Rhinolophus ferrumequinum: one gene and its partner. The protein of the gene in region 2 purifies or fractionates together with the protein of the main gene of each other region. This does not show direct contact. Links are inferred from orthologs where the notes say so. Each region holds a gene or a part of one and is shown on either strand. Other genes may lie near its edges.

Evidence for each region.
Region 1: the proteins of VBP1 (region 2) and PFDN1 purify together in Homo sapiens (affinity purification with mass spectrometry; 4 studies listed by BioGRID and IntAct, counting the BioPlex papers as one, with this or other methods). This does not show direct contact. The link is inferred for Rhinolophus ferrumequinum from reciprocal best matches to the Homo sapiens genes VBP1 and PFDN1.

The regions. Positions count from the first base shown.
Region 1 is NC_046307.1:14,945,934-14,953,952, forward strand, and holds the start of PFDN1 (prefoldin subunit 1), read right to left. Parts: upstream 3,016-8,019; 5' UTR 2,901-3,015; coding exon 2,868-2,900; intron 429-2,867; coding exon 262-428; intron 1-261. UniProt on the Homo sapiens protein: Binds specifically to cytosolic chaperonin (c-CPN) and transfers target proteins to it. Binds to nascent polypeptide chain and promotes folding in an environment in which there are many competing pathways for nonnative proteins.
Region 2 is NC_046284.1:5,461,373-5,468,306, reverse strand, and holds the start of VBP1 (prefoldin subunit 3), read left to right. Parts: upstream 1-3,929; 5' UTR 3,930-3,945; coding exon 3,946-4,038; intron 4,039-6,934. Other genes in the region: phosphatidylinositol-binding clathrin assembly protein-like, read left to right, coding at 3,686-3,875. UniProt on the Homo sapiens protein: Binds specifically to cytosolic chaperonin (c-CPN) and transfers target proteins to it. Binds to nascent polypeptide chain and promotes folding in an environment in which there are many competing pathways for nonnative proteins.

The sequences.
Region 1 (8,019 bases), on a different chromosome or scaffold from region 2:
TTTAATCACTGAAGTTACACACTTTTAAGAACCTAGTAGTAGAGAGAACACGGAAATATTTAAGAAATGTACTTCAAAGTCTAAAATTAAACACATCTATTTGGGATTCGATTTCTCATTTTTTAAAAAAGAAGGTATTTGACTAGATGATCTTTAAAGCTACAGTGATACTTTAACCTGTTTTAAAACAAACAAATTCTATGATTTAATTCAGACAAAACCTCTCCCAAGATAACTCCCATAAGGATATATTTTACTTACATTCTTCCTACACCTTCATACATGTTAGTCTCGTCTACCAAAGTCATAATCTCTGTATCTGTAAGATGTGCATGCTTTTTCGTTCTGTTTAGCTGTTCAATCTGTATATCTGCAAGCTTCACCTTCTGTTGAGTGTCAATAACTTTAGCTTGAAGCTCTGTGAAGGCCTAATAAAAACAAGTCCTTGATTTAGTAGGTGAAACACTTAATAAGAAACATTTAAGTTAAATCCAAATGTATTAAAATTAAGCATGCTAACCAGAGACAAAGCTATGAAATTTACCAAAGCAAACATCAATAAAAGTCAGTATAATTATAATCGATCAAGCCACTAGGCTACATACTGAAATTACCCTGTCAGAAGATGGAATCTATTTGAAGCAGAAACAAATGCACATTAAGTAATAACCATGTCAAGTAGCAGGGACCCAAGGAGTAATAAAAGCAATGAATGCAATAAACAGAGGATGAAACCCAGAAATCCAAAACAAGAACCATAAATGTAACAACTCTCTACATTTGTGTTATTCAACCAGGTTTCAAAGCACTTTCCCACGTTTCAAATATTAATAGAAATATTAACATGAGAACACTGAAGGATATAATAATATCGCATTTATTCCTCTCAATAATCCTATGAGTTAGAAATGGCTATTTCATCATTACAGTTTACAAATTAAGTAACCAAATGTGTTAAAGAGCTGTAAGTGGCTTGCACAGGGTTGACCGACTATCAGGTGGAAAGGCAGGTACTAAATTTCTTGTGACCCCTAGTTCAGGAATCTACCCATTCTACTGTCTACAGTAATATAAAGAACATAAATAATAGAGATATTTTAAAGAAAAAGACAAAAAAGGAAAACATTTCAAAGCATTGGTAGAATTGGATCATGATCTTCATATACACATACCAGGCCAAATTTGAACCTTGTGTACACTGTTCAACCTTGTGTACGCGTAACTGAAAGATAAACACAGTTCTTGGATACTCTTGTTGAAGTGCCTGAAATTTAACAGTGCATGCTGTTAAATTTATGCCTTAATAATAACATTTGTGACTGCAATACATGGCAAAAGGTACTACTTAACTTTTATTCTGACTTTGTTCTCACCTACTGGTAAGGTTTCCAAAGATTTATTTTGTATGAAGGGAGGTGCCTGAAAATTTCCTACTAGTCTCCAGCCAAAATAAAACCTTATCGAGATATTAGAAGATAAAATCTTTAAACGAGTTTCTTCAGTTAATTGGTTGTAAAACTATCCAACTTAAATGTGTAATCATTTTCTTAGTTTTCATTCATTGCCCACAGGTGTCTTAGCAACAAATTCAAATAATACTGGGAAGTTAAGTCCATTCATAGCTCTATGTTAGCTCTTTCAATAAATCCAGGCTTAAATTTGAACTTTTAACAGGAGAAAAAAGTAAATTTTTACACTGCGTTAAGCATTCTTAAAATGAACTTTGTTCTGCATGTAAAATTACCTGATTGTTCTGTACACAGTTTGCTAAGGGAGCTGAAATATTGTTAAAGCTGAGATACTTGAGCATTAGAGAACACCACGTAAGGGCAAAATTTACAAGTTTCAAAACAAGAATGACAAAAAGCAAGACATACACATAAATCCTCACAGCAATAACAAAGAGCTTCATGTAGTACGATCGACAGCTATTTCAGCTGTCCTATTTCTCATGCAAAGGTTGACCAAAAGGGAATCTGAAGTAAAATTTGCTCTTATGAAGAACCTAAGTAGTCAAAAGGTGTGGAGCAGACAATACTGGATTCTAGTCCCAACCTTTGATTCAATTTTTTTCTGGAACTCAGTTTCCTTTTCTGGAAAAGTATAGTTTAAACTAGATGCAGCCTAGGATCCTTTCCAATACCGGTCCCCCTCCCCACCCCAAAAAACTGTTGGGGTCCGTAATGATGTTAGAATCCTGACAACTCTTAGATGATGAAAACGTTTCTGAATAATAACACATTTATAAGCAATTGTTTGAATAGAGAAACCCAATTCCTTCTGATTATCAATTTTATTTGTAAAACTTGGCAGGACTTGTTTCTTTTTCGACAAGTCCTTCAAAAAAGGTAAAAGGTGGGGAGCCAGAGCCCTGAGATGCACAATGCTATGAGCATGTCTGACTCTGGACTGTACTGCGACCTTTCAAGATATGGGATCGAATAAATGGCCTAAAAGCACTGGCTGGATTTGGAATTTTTCAAAGCTAATGAGGATGCACCATTACAGATGCCTAGGCTCAGGCGAACCGTCCTAAGGGGCTCCAATTTGAAACGCTTATTTCAGGCCTCAATACGAAACTGAAGGCCCAAGCGCAACGTAACGGCTCTGCAGCTCGGAAGAGAACAGGCCAGCTATTGGCGCACCAGACAATCAAAGACAGCTCAACGGGCTGTTACCCACCAAGAGCCGCTCGCCCCCTACTCCAACTTAAGAAGACCCGATCCCGCCTTGGGACTTCAGGAAATCATTCCCCAGTTCCCTGGGGCCTCTTTCCGTCTTCAAGACTCGAGCCTCCTCGATATTCTTATCCACAGTCCCCTTAGCTACTAAAGAGAAGCCTCGGCCTGCTCAAGACGCTCTCTTACCTTCTTTAACTCCAAATCCACGGGCGCCGCCATCTTGGCTCACTCTCTGCGCCTGCGCGATGGAAGAAGGCCCGAAAAAGTGAGGAGGAAGGGCGCGCTTTGGCTGTTTAATTGTCCCCCTTTCTTCTGCGCCTGCGCATAAATCGGGCTTGCCGGGCTTCTTCCCTTCACGCGGGCTAGTGGCGCTTGAAATGAATATTCTGGATTCGATTCAGCCTGTGTTCCCCACGTGATCTATCAGGTTTGGGCTGCTTCTCCACGTCCTTCCAGCCACAACATCAACATGCAGATTTCGTGTATGGTTTTAAGCATTTTGACAAATAGCTCAGTTTTTGCTGCTAAATTGAGACGTATGAATATCAGACCAAAACCTCTTCAGTCATTCAGTCCTTCAGCTAGTCCCTGTGCTGTCAGGAATGAGAATCAGCCTGCACCTCAGGCATGCCAGTGTGGAGAAAAACAAGATTATTGGAGTGGTCTTCCAAAGAACTTATTTCTAAGGAATGCTCTTGGAGGACATTTTTGACATAGTGGTTCCCAAGAGAAGCCAAAAAAGTATGTTTAAAAACAAACAAACAAAAAAACACAGATTGTCTGGTCCTCGTCCCAAACTTAATTACTTAGAATTTTTGAGATTGGGGCCCAGAAATTTGCACTTTTGCAAACAATCCTTATGACCTGATGCAACGTCATCTGCAGACCAAATTTTGAGAATTTGCTGTAAAAGATCTAGCATTTGAACCAGAATATTGGATAGAAATTGGACTTTAGGACATGGCAGAAATGGATGTTTTATCTACTCTAAAAACTTGTGAGGGGGGCCGGCCTGGTGGCTCAGGCGGTTAGAGCTCCATGCTCTTAACGCCGAAGGCTGCCGGTTCGATTCCCACATGGGCCAGTGGGCTCTCAACCACAAGGTTGTCGGTTCGACTCCTTGACTCCCACAAGAGATGGTGGGCTGCACCCCTTGCAACTAGCAATGGCAACTGGACCTGGAGCTGAGCTGCGCCCTCCACAACTCAGATTGAAAGGACAACAACTTGACTTGGAAAAAGTCCTGGAAGTACACACTGTTCCCCAATAAAGTCCTGTTCCCCTTAAAAAAAAAAAAAAAAGAAAACTTTAAAAAAAAAAAAAAAAAAAAAAAAAAAAAACTTGTGAGGGAAGGGAAAGGGAAGGAATTTGGAACCGGCCAGACCTGGATTAAAGGTTTGGTTTACCTTGAGCCTAGGTCTGTTTGGTTCCATTTACTAGCTATGTAGCAATAGAGTTTGTCTCCTCTTTTAATTTGAGAATAACAATATTGACCTAATAGGATTATTGTGAGGAATACATAAGATCAGGATGAAACACTCCAAACATAGCACCACACACACAGTAGGTACTCAATGAATAGTTGTTAGTTGAGGTAGTTAACATTGTCATGTTTGTCTTTCAATGTCCAGCAAACAGGTCACCTCCTCCATTATGTCTTTTTTTTATTTTTTACATCACTCAACAACCAAAAATAATATCTCCTTTAAACTCTCCTCAAGACCACATCTGTTCTTCTCTTAAGGCACATGAAACTTTCTACCTTCAATTTTTTTTCCTTATTAGACTGTAAGCTCCTTGAAATCAAGAACGATAGAATAATTGTTCTCCCAGCACTTATACCCAGAACACCTATCACAGTGCCTCATAGGGAAGAAATACAAAATAAACACTTGATGAGAATGAATTCTTCAGAAGAAAATTTGTCATCACTTTCTAATTTGAGAAAGAAAAGGGGGGCCTAATTTTACTCTGGGGCCTTCTTAGAACTTCACTATAGATAATCAATAAATAATGACCCAAAAATTAAAATTCATAGAAAGTCTCAGATACTTTACTGTACATTACCTCATGAGATTTTGAAACACTCCTCATAGCAATTCATGTGTAATGTAAAAAGTTAAGAGCATGGGCTAAGGTATCAGACAACCTAGGTTCAAGTACTGTCTGTATTATTTAATAAGAATGTGACCCTAGGCAAAAGTCTCCTCTCAAATTTTTTGGTCATTGTTCCTTTTTGCATACCACTCCTTCCTCTTGAGTTTAATTTCCTTCTTGATAAAGTAAATCTTCAGTATATTCTTTCAGGATGAGTATTTGAGAAGTAAACTCTGTTAGTCTTTGTGTTAAGGGTTGAATTGTATCCCCCAAAAAAAGATGTGTTGAAGTCCTATATCCAGTACCTCCAAATGTCATCTATTCAGAAATCCAGTCTTTACACAGGTAATGTTAAAATGAAGTCTTTAGGGTGGGCCCTAATCCAATATGTCTTAGTCTTTCAGGCTGCTATAATCACCACAGAGTGGATGGCTTATAAACAACAAACATGTATTTCTCACAGTTCTGGAACTGGAAATCTGAGATCAGGGTACCAGTACGGTTAGGTGAGGGTCCTCTTCAGGGTTGCAAACTGCAGACCTCTCACTATGTCCTCACTTGGTGGAAAGGGTGAGGGAATCTCTGTGGGGGTCTCTTATAAGATCCAGTAAAGCCACTTTTGGGTATACACCCAAAAGAATTAAAACAGGGACTTGAATAGATATTTATATATCCATGTTCAGAGCAGCATATTCACAATATGCAAAATGTGGAAATAATTGGAAGCAAACACATGTTATAACCCAGGTTAACCTTGAGGACATTTTGCTAAGTGAAATAAGCCAGTCACAAGAAGACAAATATTTTATAATTCCACTTATATGAAGGATTTAGAGTAGTCAAAATCATAAAGGCAGAAAGTAGAATGGTGGGTGCCAGGAGCTAGGGAGAAGAGGGGGAATGGGGAGTTATTGTTTAATAGGTATAGAGTTTCAGTTTCACAAGATGAAAGACTTTTAGAGATGGGTGGCGGTAATGGTAGCACAACATTATGAATGCATTTCATACCCCTGAACTGTACACTTAAAAATGGTGAAGAAGGTAAATTTTATGTTATGTCTATATTACCACATTAAAAAATGGAAAAAATTTATTTGTACCTTTTTCAAATCTACCTGCTCTTTTCTTTTTTATGATATGTAATGATATATTCTTGCCTAATAGTGAACATAATTAGAACATAATGAACATAATTATTCTTAAATGTTTTTACAGTGTCTTATCATCTAGTGTGGATTCTTCCATTGGAGGCATTTGCTGGTCTTTCTTATGAAAGTTGATTTTCTCATATTACTAAGTTCATATTACTGAGTTCATATGACTAAGAACTCATCAAAAGTGTCTAGCATGTCCTGGGCTGTGGAAACATCCCTTCACATCCATTTCCACCAAAGCCCTGTGAGATTCACAGGTTCCAAACCAGTTTTTATGTTAATTCTTGACACCACATGAATGTACCAAATTTAGGGAAAAATAAAACTTTCCCTGAGCATAAAGTTGGCAGAATGTGATATACATTTACAGACTGGAAGCCACTGTAATATTTTTCCATATCTCCTTTTCATTTGGGTCTTCAAAATAAAATTATTTCCTTTCTCTCTGGAGCTTTTAAAACAGCAGAAAGGGGGCCGGCCCGGTGGCTCAGGCAGTTGGAGCTCCATGCTCCTAAATCTGAAGGCTGCCGGTTCAATTCCCACATGGGCCAGTGGGCTCTCAACCACAAGGTTGCCAGTTCAGTTCCTCGAGTCCCGCGAGGGATGGTGGGCTCCGTCCCCTGCAACTAGTAACGGCAACTGGACCTGGAGCTGAGCTGCGCCCTCCACAGCTAAGACTGAAAAGGACAACTTGAAGCTAAATGGCACCCTCCACAACCAAGACTGAAAGGACAACAACTTGAAGCTGAACGGCACCCTCCACAACTAAGATTGAAAGGACAACAACTTGACTTGGAAAACAGGCCTGGAAGTACACACTGTTCCCCAATAAAGTCCTGTTCCTCTTCCCCAATAAAAATCTAAAAAAAAAAAAAAAAAAAAAAAAAAAACCAGCAGAAAGAGACCTTCTATGAAAGCACTGAAGAGTTTGCAGTACTTCGACATTTGCTTAGAGAATAACCAGGATGTGCTGGTGTCTATCGTTTTCATAGTAAAAACAGACTTCCCACTGAAGGATTCACTAGCACAGGGATGTACTACTTCTGAGGTTCAATCAGTCCACAGTTGTGGAATTTAGAAAGGTGATCTATTATCCCTCAGTTCTGTTTCTCCATGCGCAATACACTTATTTAGTCATTTAACAAATATTTATTGAACATCCATTAGACATTGATCCAGGCCCTTGGGATGTAACAGTAACAGGCGACAAACTCTCTCACCTCATGGAGTACATATTCCAGTGGGGGACAGACAAACAATAAACCTGCAAACAAACAATTTCAGATATTGATCAGAGTTATCAAGGAAGAAAACAACAATGTGGTTAGAGATTGGGTGGAGTCCACCAAGGTGTGGGAAACTCTCTGGAAGGACACTCATCTGAGATGGGACTTGAAAAATGAGAATGAGCCAGCTATGCAAAGAGCTGGGGAAAGAGCATTCCAAACAGAAGGAATAGCAAGAGCAAAGGGTATAGGATGGGAAGAGGCTTGGCAGGAAGAAGCTGGATAGGAAGATTGGTGGAAGGTGACATCAGAGAGTTGGACAGGGGGCCAGACCGTGAAAGGCCTTCTAAGCTACAGTCCTTGCAAGCTACAGTCAGGGGTTAGAATGTTATTTTGAGTGTGATTGGAAGCCATTGAATGATTTCAAGCAGGGGATTGATATAATCTGAAGAGATTGATATGATCTCATTTTGTTTTATTTTTTAAATTTTTATTGGGGAATATTGGGGAACTATGTGTTTCTCCAGGGCCCATCAGCTCCAAGTCATTGTCCTTCACTCTAGTTGTGGAGGGCACAGCTCACTGGCCCATGTGGGAATCAAACCGGCAACCCTGCGGTTCAGAGCTTACGCTCTAACCTACTGAGCCATCCAGCCTCCCCACATGATCTCATTTTAAAGGCATCATTGTGTGTTCCACATGGAGAATGGATTGGAGGGAGCAAGAGTAGAAGCAAAGAGACCACTTAGGAGAGTATTGCAGTAGTGCAAGAGAAAGATGATGGTGATCTAGGTGAAGATGACAGCAGTAAAGATAAAAAGAAGTAGATGGATTCAGGTAGAAGTTACTGAACTTGATGAA
Region 2 (6,934 bases):
AATGATAAAGATTTCCACCCAGTAGATGTTTAGATGATAGAAGTTTGGCATTAAAGGCAGAGAAAACAGCTTGAGCATAGAAATGGAAACAGGCAGTGGTAACGTGGATGAGTATAGCTGAAGCATATGGGAGAGTGCCATGATCCACGTGTTCATTACCTCAAGAGTATTGTTTTCTAAAAATCTTTGTAAGATTTCTTCCTTCAGTCTTCAGCCAGTGTATTGGGGCCCCTGGTTCCTGAATGTTTGTCTTAGGAGGCCGGACCTCCTAATAAGTAGACTGACCAAGCCTTTTGTGTATAATAATATTTGTAATTTATTTTATAGCCACAAAGAAATATATGGAGAAATGATGTAAAATTTATATGTCTATCTTTTACCCAGACACAATCTGTGTAGAAGTACCGAAGCAAAAAGATTGAAATTTAGAGGTGAAAAAACCAAGATCTTTCCCAGCCTGAACTGAATCACCCACATCTTCCAAGTAAAATAAACATTCAGTGAAACATCAATACTTTTGAGATTCTTCAATTCAGTGTTTTGGAGGTGATGCACTGTATTTCTCTTGTTTTAATAGTTATCCTTCAAAATGATCAAAAACTAAAGTTAATATCTTAATCTCCCCTCCCAAATAACACAAGGACCTTAGAACACTTTTAAAGTACAAGGGCATTCCTACCCAACTTATATACTATGGTGGTCCAGCATTTTAGCTCTGCCCCATTCTATTAGCCTCTGAAATTAAAAGTATTAGTATTTATAGAAATAGTTTTTGTTTAGATTTAGTTAGCCATGTGTTTAGGTTTTTTGTTTGTTTGTTTACCATCCCTTCTTGCCTTGGAATCCTTTCCCTCTTCCTGAAGTACACCTTTTAGAATTTCATTTAGTGTAGTTATGCTGGTGATAAACTCAGTTTTTGTTTACCTGAAAATATATTGCTTCATACTCATTTTTAAACTAAATTTTAAATTGATGTACAAATACAAGGTCTATTAACATTCTTGTACAAGTCTTTTGTAGATGATTGTCGCTACATCTCTCAGGTAAATATCTAGGAGTAGAATGGGTGGGTCATACAGTATGTGTTTGTCTAAAATTAAAACTTCCAAAAATTTTCCAAAAATGACTGTACCACTTTATTCCACCAGCAATGTGTGAGAATTCTAGGTGCTCAAAATTCTGGCCAACAATTACTGCTGTCAATATTGTAAATTTTGGCCATTGTAGTGGCTTTGTAGTAATGTCACATGTGGTTTAATTACATTTCTCTGATGAGTAAGCAACTTTTCACATACTTATTGGCCATTACAATATTTTTTTTTTTGTGAAATATCCAACTGTTTTGTCCATTTTAATGTTTTTCTTTTTTTGATTGATTTATAGTTCTTTATACATTCTGAATATTAATTCTGTTAGATATATTACACAAATAATTTCTCCTAGTCTGTGGCTTGCCTTTTCATGTTCTTAATGGTATCATTTGCTGAGCAGGTGTTTTCTAATTTTGAACTCCAATTTATCAAGTTTTTCTTTTATGATTAGTGCTTTTTGTGTCTTCAGAAATATTTGATTATCCCAATGTCATGAAGATATCCTCCATTTCTCTTCTCGAAGCTCTGTAATTTCAGTTTTTGTTTAGATCTGTGATCCTCCTAAAAATACATTTTTATGTTTGGTGACAGGTAAGGGTAGAGATTTACTTTTTCCATATAGTTACCTAGTTGTTCCTGCAACATTTGTGAAAAATAAATTCCTTTTCCCTTGGGTTGCCTTGGTACGTTTCTTAAAATTCAATTGATAACATGGGGATGTAAAGTACAACATAAGGGAATATAGTAAATAATATAATAACTATGTACAGTGACATGATACTAGATAATACTAGATTTGTTTATAACACTAGATAATACTGGACTTATTATGGTGATCACTTCATAAGTTATATAAGCATTGAATCACTAAGTTGTATACCTGAAATCAATATAATATTATATATCAACTATAATTAAAAATAAAATTAAAAAAGGCATCAGTGAATTGGGGGTGTTTGGGACAGTTAGCTGAATAATAAAACTTGCATCTGGAGATAAAAAGTAAAATGAATATGAATAATGAGAAGATTTTTTTTAAGCAGCTGCAAAAATAAAATGTGTGGATAATAGGGTCTTCTTTGTGAGGAATCATATCATCAAAAGCATGACTTTGATCTCACTAAATAAGAATCCCAACATATGGCATTAATTCACAAGTTAAAATTTCAATAAAAGATTTGTTTCCCCCTAGACACAACACACACACACACACACACACACACACACACACAATTGACAACCTATTTATGGGTCTATTTTTTACTTTATTTTGTTCCTTTGATCCAAATGTCTGTCTTTAGTCCAATAACACACTGTCTTGATTATCATAGTTTTCTCTGGGCCTCAAAGTAAGGTAGTATTAGTCTTCCATATTTATTCATATTTTTCAAGATTGTTTCAGGTATTCAGGTTCTCTTTGAATTCCAGGAAAATATTACAATCAGCTGATCAATTTCTATGGAAAAAAGTCCTCTAGAACACTGACTGGGACTACATTGAATCTACAGTTAAATTTGGAGAAAATATACATACAGATATCTTAACAATATCAGCACTTCCAAACCATGAACACAGCATAACCACAGCATAACCACTTATTTATTCATTCAGGCATTCTTTAATTTCTCTCCATTTATTTGGAGTTTTTAACAGTTACTAGTGTATTTCATTATATAATTACTGGTAAAGACTAACTGGAACTTTAAGGGAACATAATTAGTCAATAGAGTCTATGGGAAGAACTAAGGTTTTTGGGAGGAGTTCTTACACTCTAACAGCGAGAGGCCTACAGGAAGAACTCTATGTTTATATGGTAGTAACTTCCCCTTCCCTTAACTCCCCTTTCTCTTCCATAAATACCCTTCCATCTTTACAGGCAGGCCAGAGTGTACATGTGGCTTGCCATGTCTGCATGCACTGGGTTACAACCTTTTGTTTTCCCCCAAATATATTCCTTTTGGTGCCGAAACACCTAGTCAATATTATTTTTCAGTTGACACTACTAATAGTTTTGTTTTTTAATATTTTCCCCTGCTTCTGAGTTGTCTGTTATGGCGCATGTCTCCTGTGAGAGTAGTGCTCTTTATGCACTCCTGTTCTCAGGACTTCCAGAACCCAGGGGACCCCAAGGCTTTCATAAGTCAGGCAGCCAAAGAATTGCACTCCTCTAACTCAAACATGTACTTCATCCATGTTCAATAGGAAGCAGTTACAGAAGTATGACCCATTGTCCCCATCCTCCCAAGAATGAGGAGTGAGAAACCTCAGGGAGCAATAGGACAAGTCTCTCAAGGTCTGGCTGGTTCTTACTAAATGCTATTCTTGCTAAATGTTGAAATATAGCACAGTATTTTGCAGATGCAGCCATAAACAGGATGAGCTTGACAGGTACTCAACTGGATAGGTGTAGCCAACTGCAAAGAAGAAATCAACGTGCAATTAACCAAATAGTGTATAAAAGCAATGAATGGCCAAGCCTCCCTTGAGGAGACAGAGCTTTGGCTATGTGAGTCCCATCTCCTTTAATGACTGCAAGTAAATTACCCACCCACAAAATCCCCGGGACCCCTTTTTCCAGGCGTCCCTTTTTCCAGGAGTCCGTATTGGTCCTTCCTGCACAACCAGCTTCTCCTCCGCAGCCCTTCCAAACTTGTCACTCACCTGCGTGCAGCCAATCAGCACCCACAGGATGGGCGACAGCGCGAGGGAGGAGAAGGAGCGTCTACTTCCTGTTTGCCTACGAATGCGCAGACTCGCAAAGGAGGGGCGGGCCTGCGGGTGTGAGCGAGCCAATCACGGACCCGCGGCAGCTGGCGGCTGGAAAGGCGGTTAGTCGTGCGCTTGCTTCCCCAAGATGGCGGCCGCTAAAGATGCTTGTGGCTCAGGAGAAGTGGTTGCAGGAAACGGTCGGCGGTACCACCTAGGGATTCCTGAAGCCGTGTTTGTGGTAAGAGATACGCTGTTCCTAGGCATCTTGACGCTAGGCCGCGACCCCTTCCTTCCCAGTCCCCACCCTGGCCTCCACTGTTGGGGGAAGGAGTTGAGCTGAAGGTTCGGCGAGAGAGCGCTCCGTCCCCTCTCGCGCTTCGTGCGTGGACAGACTGTGCTGTGTGCTGTGCTGGGACCTGCCCCAGGGGAAACGCAGTCCGAGAAGGCCCCAAAACAGAAGAGGGCCTGGGGAGGGAGGACTCGGGAGCGGGGCGGTCTGAGGGAGCGCCCCCTAACTGCTTACTAGACACCAGGATTCATCCCCTGCTGCCTGGAAAAGGGGAGGCAGTGAGAAGCTTGAGACTCAGCCTAGGTGTGCTGGTGATTCTGTGCTTGCCTCCACTCCGGAGATGAGGTCTTGTACCTGTGTCTGTGCCCTGGATGGCTGAGAATAGGAAATAAAGCCTAGTCTGTTGAAGGAATGCGGTGGTCTCTTGCCTTGGAGGAATGATTTTACCCACTCAGTTCTGGCTGAGCTACTATAAAATCTTAATGGAATTTTCCCGACCTTTTGGTTTGTACTTATATTGCCTTATCTCTGCCTTTGTCTTAGTCATATCTCCTTCAAAAGACCCATTTCTTTTACTTAAACTACTTTTATATACACTGTATATTGCATATTTGTATTTGCTGATTCAGTTTTGTAGTTATTTTCTTCAGTCATTTCGTATTTCCTCCCTGAGCTGTGCCATTTATTTCTTTACATTTCTCTCTCAACTAATGGAAATGAGATAAAATTTGTTGAGTGCCAGGCATTTTCCTAATGCTTTTACAAAACTCTAGGAGGTAGGTAATGTTATCCCATTTTGTAGATGATGAAGCTGAGGCACAGAGCCCTCGAATAACTTCCTCCGATCCACACAGGGTGTAAGTGAGTTATCCAGGATTTGAACTTGGGCAATCTGTGGGGCTGGAGAGCCCCTCTGTGTACACATCCTGCTCTGCTACTGGGAGGAAAGGCAGGTCACCATGTTGCTCAGTGTCATTTTCTCCTGGTCCTAGCACAGTGCCTGACACATAGTATAAACCCATAACTAGATGTCAAATTGTATTTCCATAGTGCCTTAAATACTTCATCCTGGTGCTCAGCTAGAGTTGGCTTCAAAAATCTAATTCAGGATGACAAACTTTATCTGAAGGCTTTAGAAAAAAAGTCTTATCTTAAAGTGCCCTTTTCCCCTAAAATTCTATGGGTTATTTTTTTTTTTAGACCTTAAAATTTCTGCCAACATGATATGATAAGCCATCCAAATTTTACGTAATTATTTTTATGTTCCCAAACTAATGGGACTATCATGGTGTTATAGAAAGAATAATTGCTGCTTAGTCTTGAGCATATTGTTTTACTACTTTGAGCCTCAGTTCCTTAACAGAAGTAGCGATGACAATACTTACAAAGTTGCTATGAGAAACAGAGAATGTGCTTTCAGTATTGCAAGTTGATGCTTAATATACAGTGGTCCCTCGGTATCCATGGCGGATTGGTTCCAGGACCCTCCTACCCTCATTCAAAATCTGCAGATGCTGAAGTCCCATATATAAAATGTCGTAGTATTTGTATTAACCTACACACATGCACATCTTCCCATATACTAAAATCATCGCCAGATTACATATAATACCTAATAAGATATAAATGCTATGTAAATAGTTGTTATACTACATTGTTTAGGGAGTAAGTAGTACATGTCAGCAACAAGTTAACATTTTTTTCAAATATCTTTGAACTGCAGTTGGTTGAAACCACGGACTCCGAACCCGCCAATGTAGAGGGCCGACTGTATATTGTCTTCTGTGATGAAAGGCAGTATACCATACTGGTTAGGAGTCAGACCTCTCCCTTTTCGCATTCCCAGTGGTGTAGTAATTTGTTTTCTTTTCCTGCTTGAATTATTCCTTTCCCCGTTCTCCATTTGCTGACCTCTTCATCTCTCAACACCTAATTTCAGATATAATCTCCCTGTAGTTCTTCCTGATAGTACCCCAAATGGAATTCTTGGCACTTTCACGTTTCCTTAGTACGTTGTATTGTAGACATAGCTAATGTTTATTATCAGTTACAAGCTGTTGTGTACTCTTCTAAGCATTTTACACATTCTAAGCATTTTAATGCTAACTCATTTAATCCCCTGTGAGGAAAATACACTTTTTATTTTTTTAATTTTACAGATGAGGAAATTGAGACAGAGGTTAAATAACTTCCCTCAACTCAACACATTGAGTATGTGGTGAAGCCACGATTCAAACCAGGCAGCCCTGGCTCTTAACCTCCAACCTATGCTACTATAGTTAATTCTCCTTGCTACACTCTAAGCTCCTAGTAGTATGTCCCCCTGTGCTAGAAACTGGCACTTATTTTCCTTTCTTGCAGTTTTACTACCTCCAGGAAGATGGTATCTCCATTTTACATGCAAAGTTCAGCCATTGCCGCTCCCTCACCTTTTGAATTTCTTTTACTGTCTCTAGTTTGATGGCTTCATAGTTCACGCTCTTGCTGTGTTTCTCTTCCTTTTTCTTCTTCTTTTGGCTAAAATAGTCCTTTACAGTTAGTAAGCATGAATAAGAATAATGATGTAGAGATGCCAGAAACCGTAAGATAATTGACTTTAACTTACAATGAAGGTCTCAAGTTCTTCAAAGAACTGGAAGTCTCGTATAGACTCTCCTTAAAGTTTCCATCTATTTTCATCTAGTTCCTTATCTAATTAACTAGCTTTTCTTCAAGGATCAGCATGTACTATACAGGTTAAAAATGCTACTGGGTTTTACTTATTTTCTTTTGCTTATTGTTCCTGTTACAAAAGATTGCTCTGTTTACCTTTTAGTTATACTTTATTTCAACCACTTGATACTTA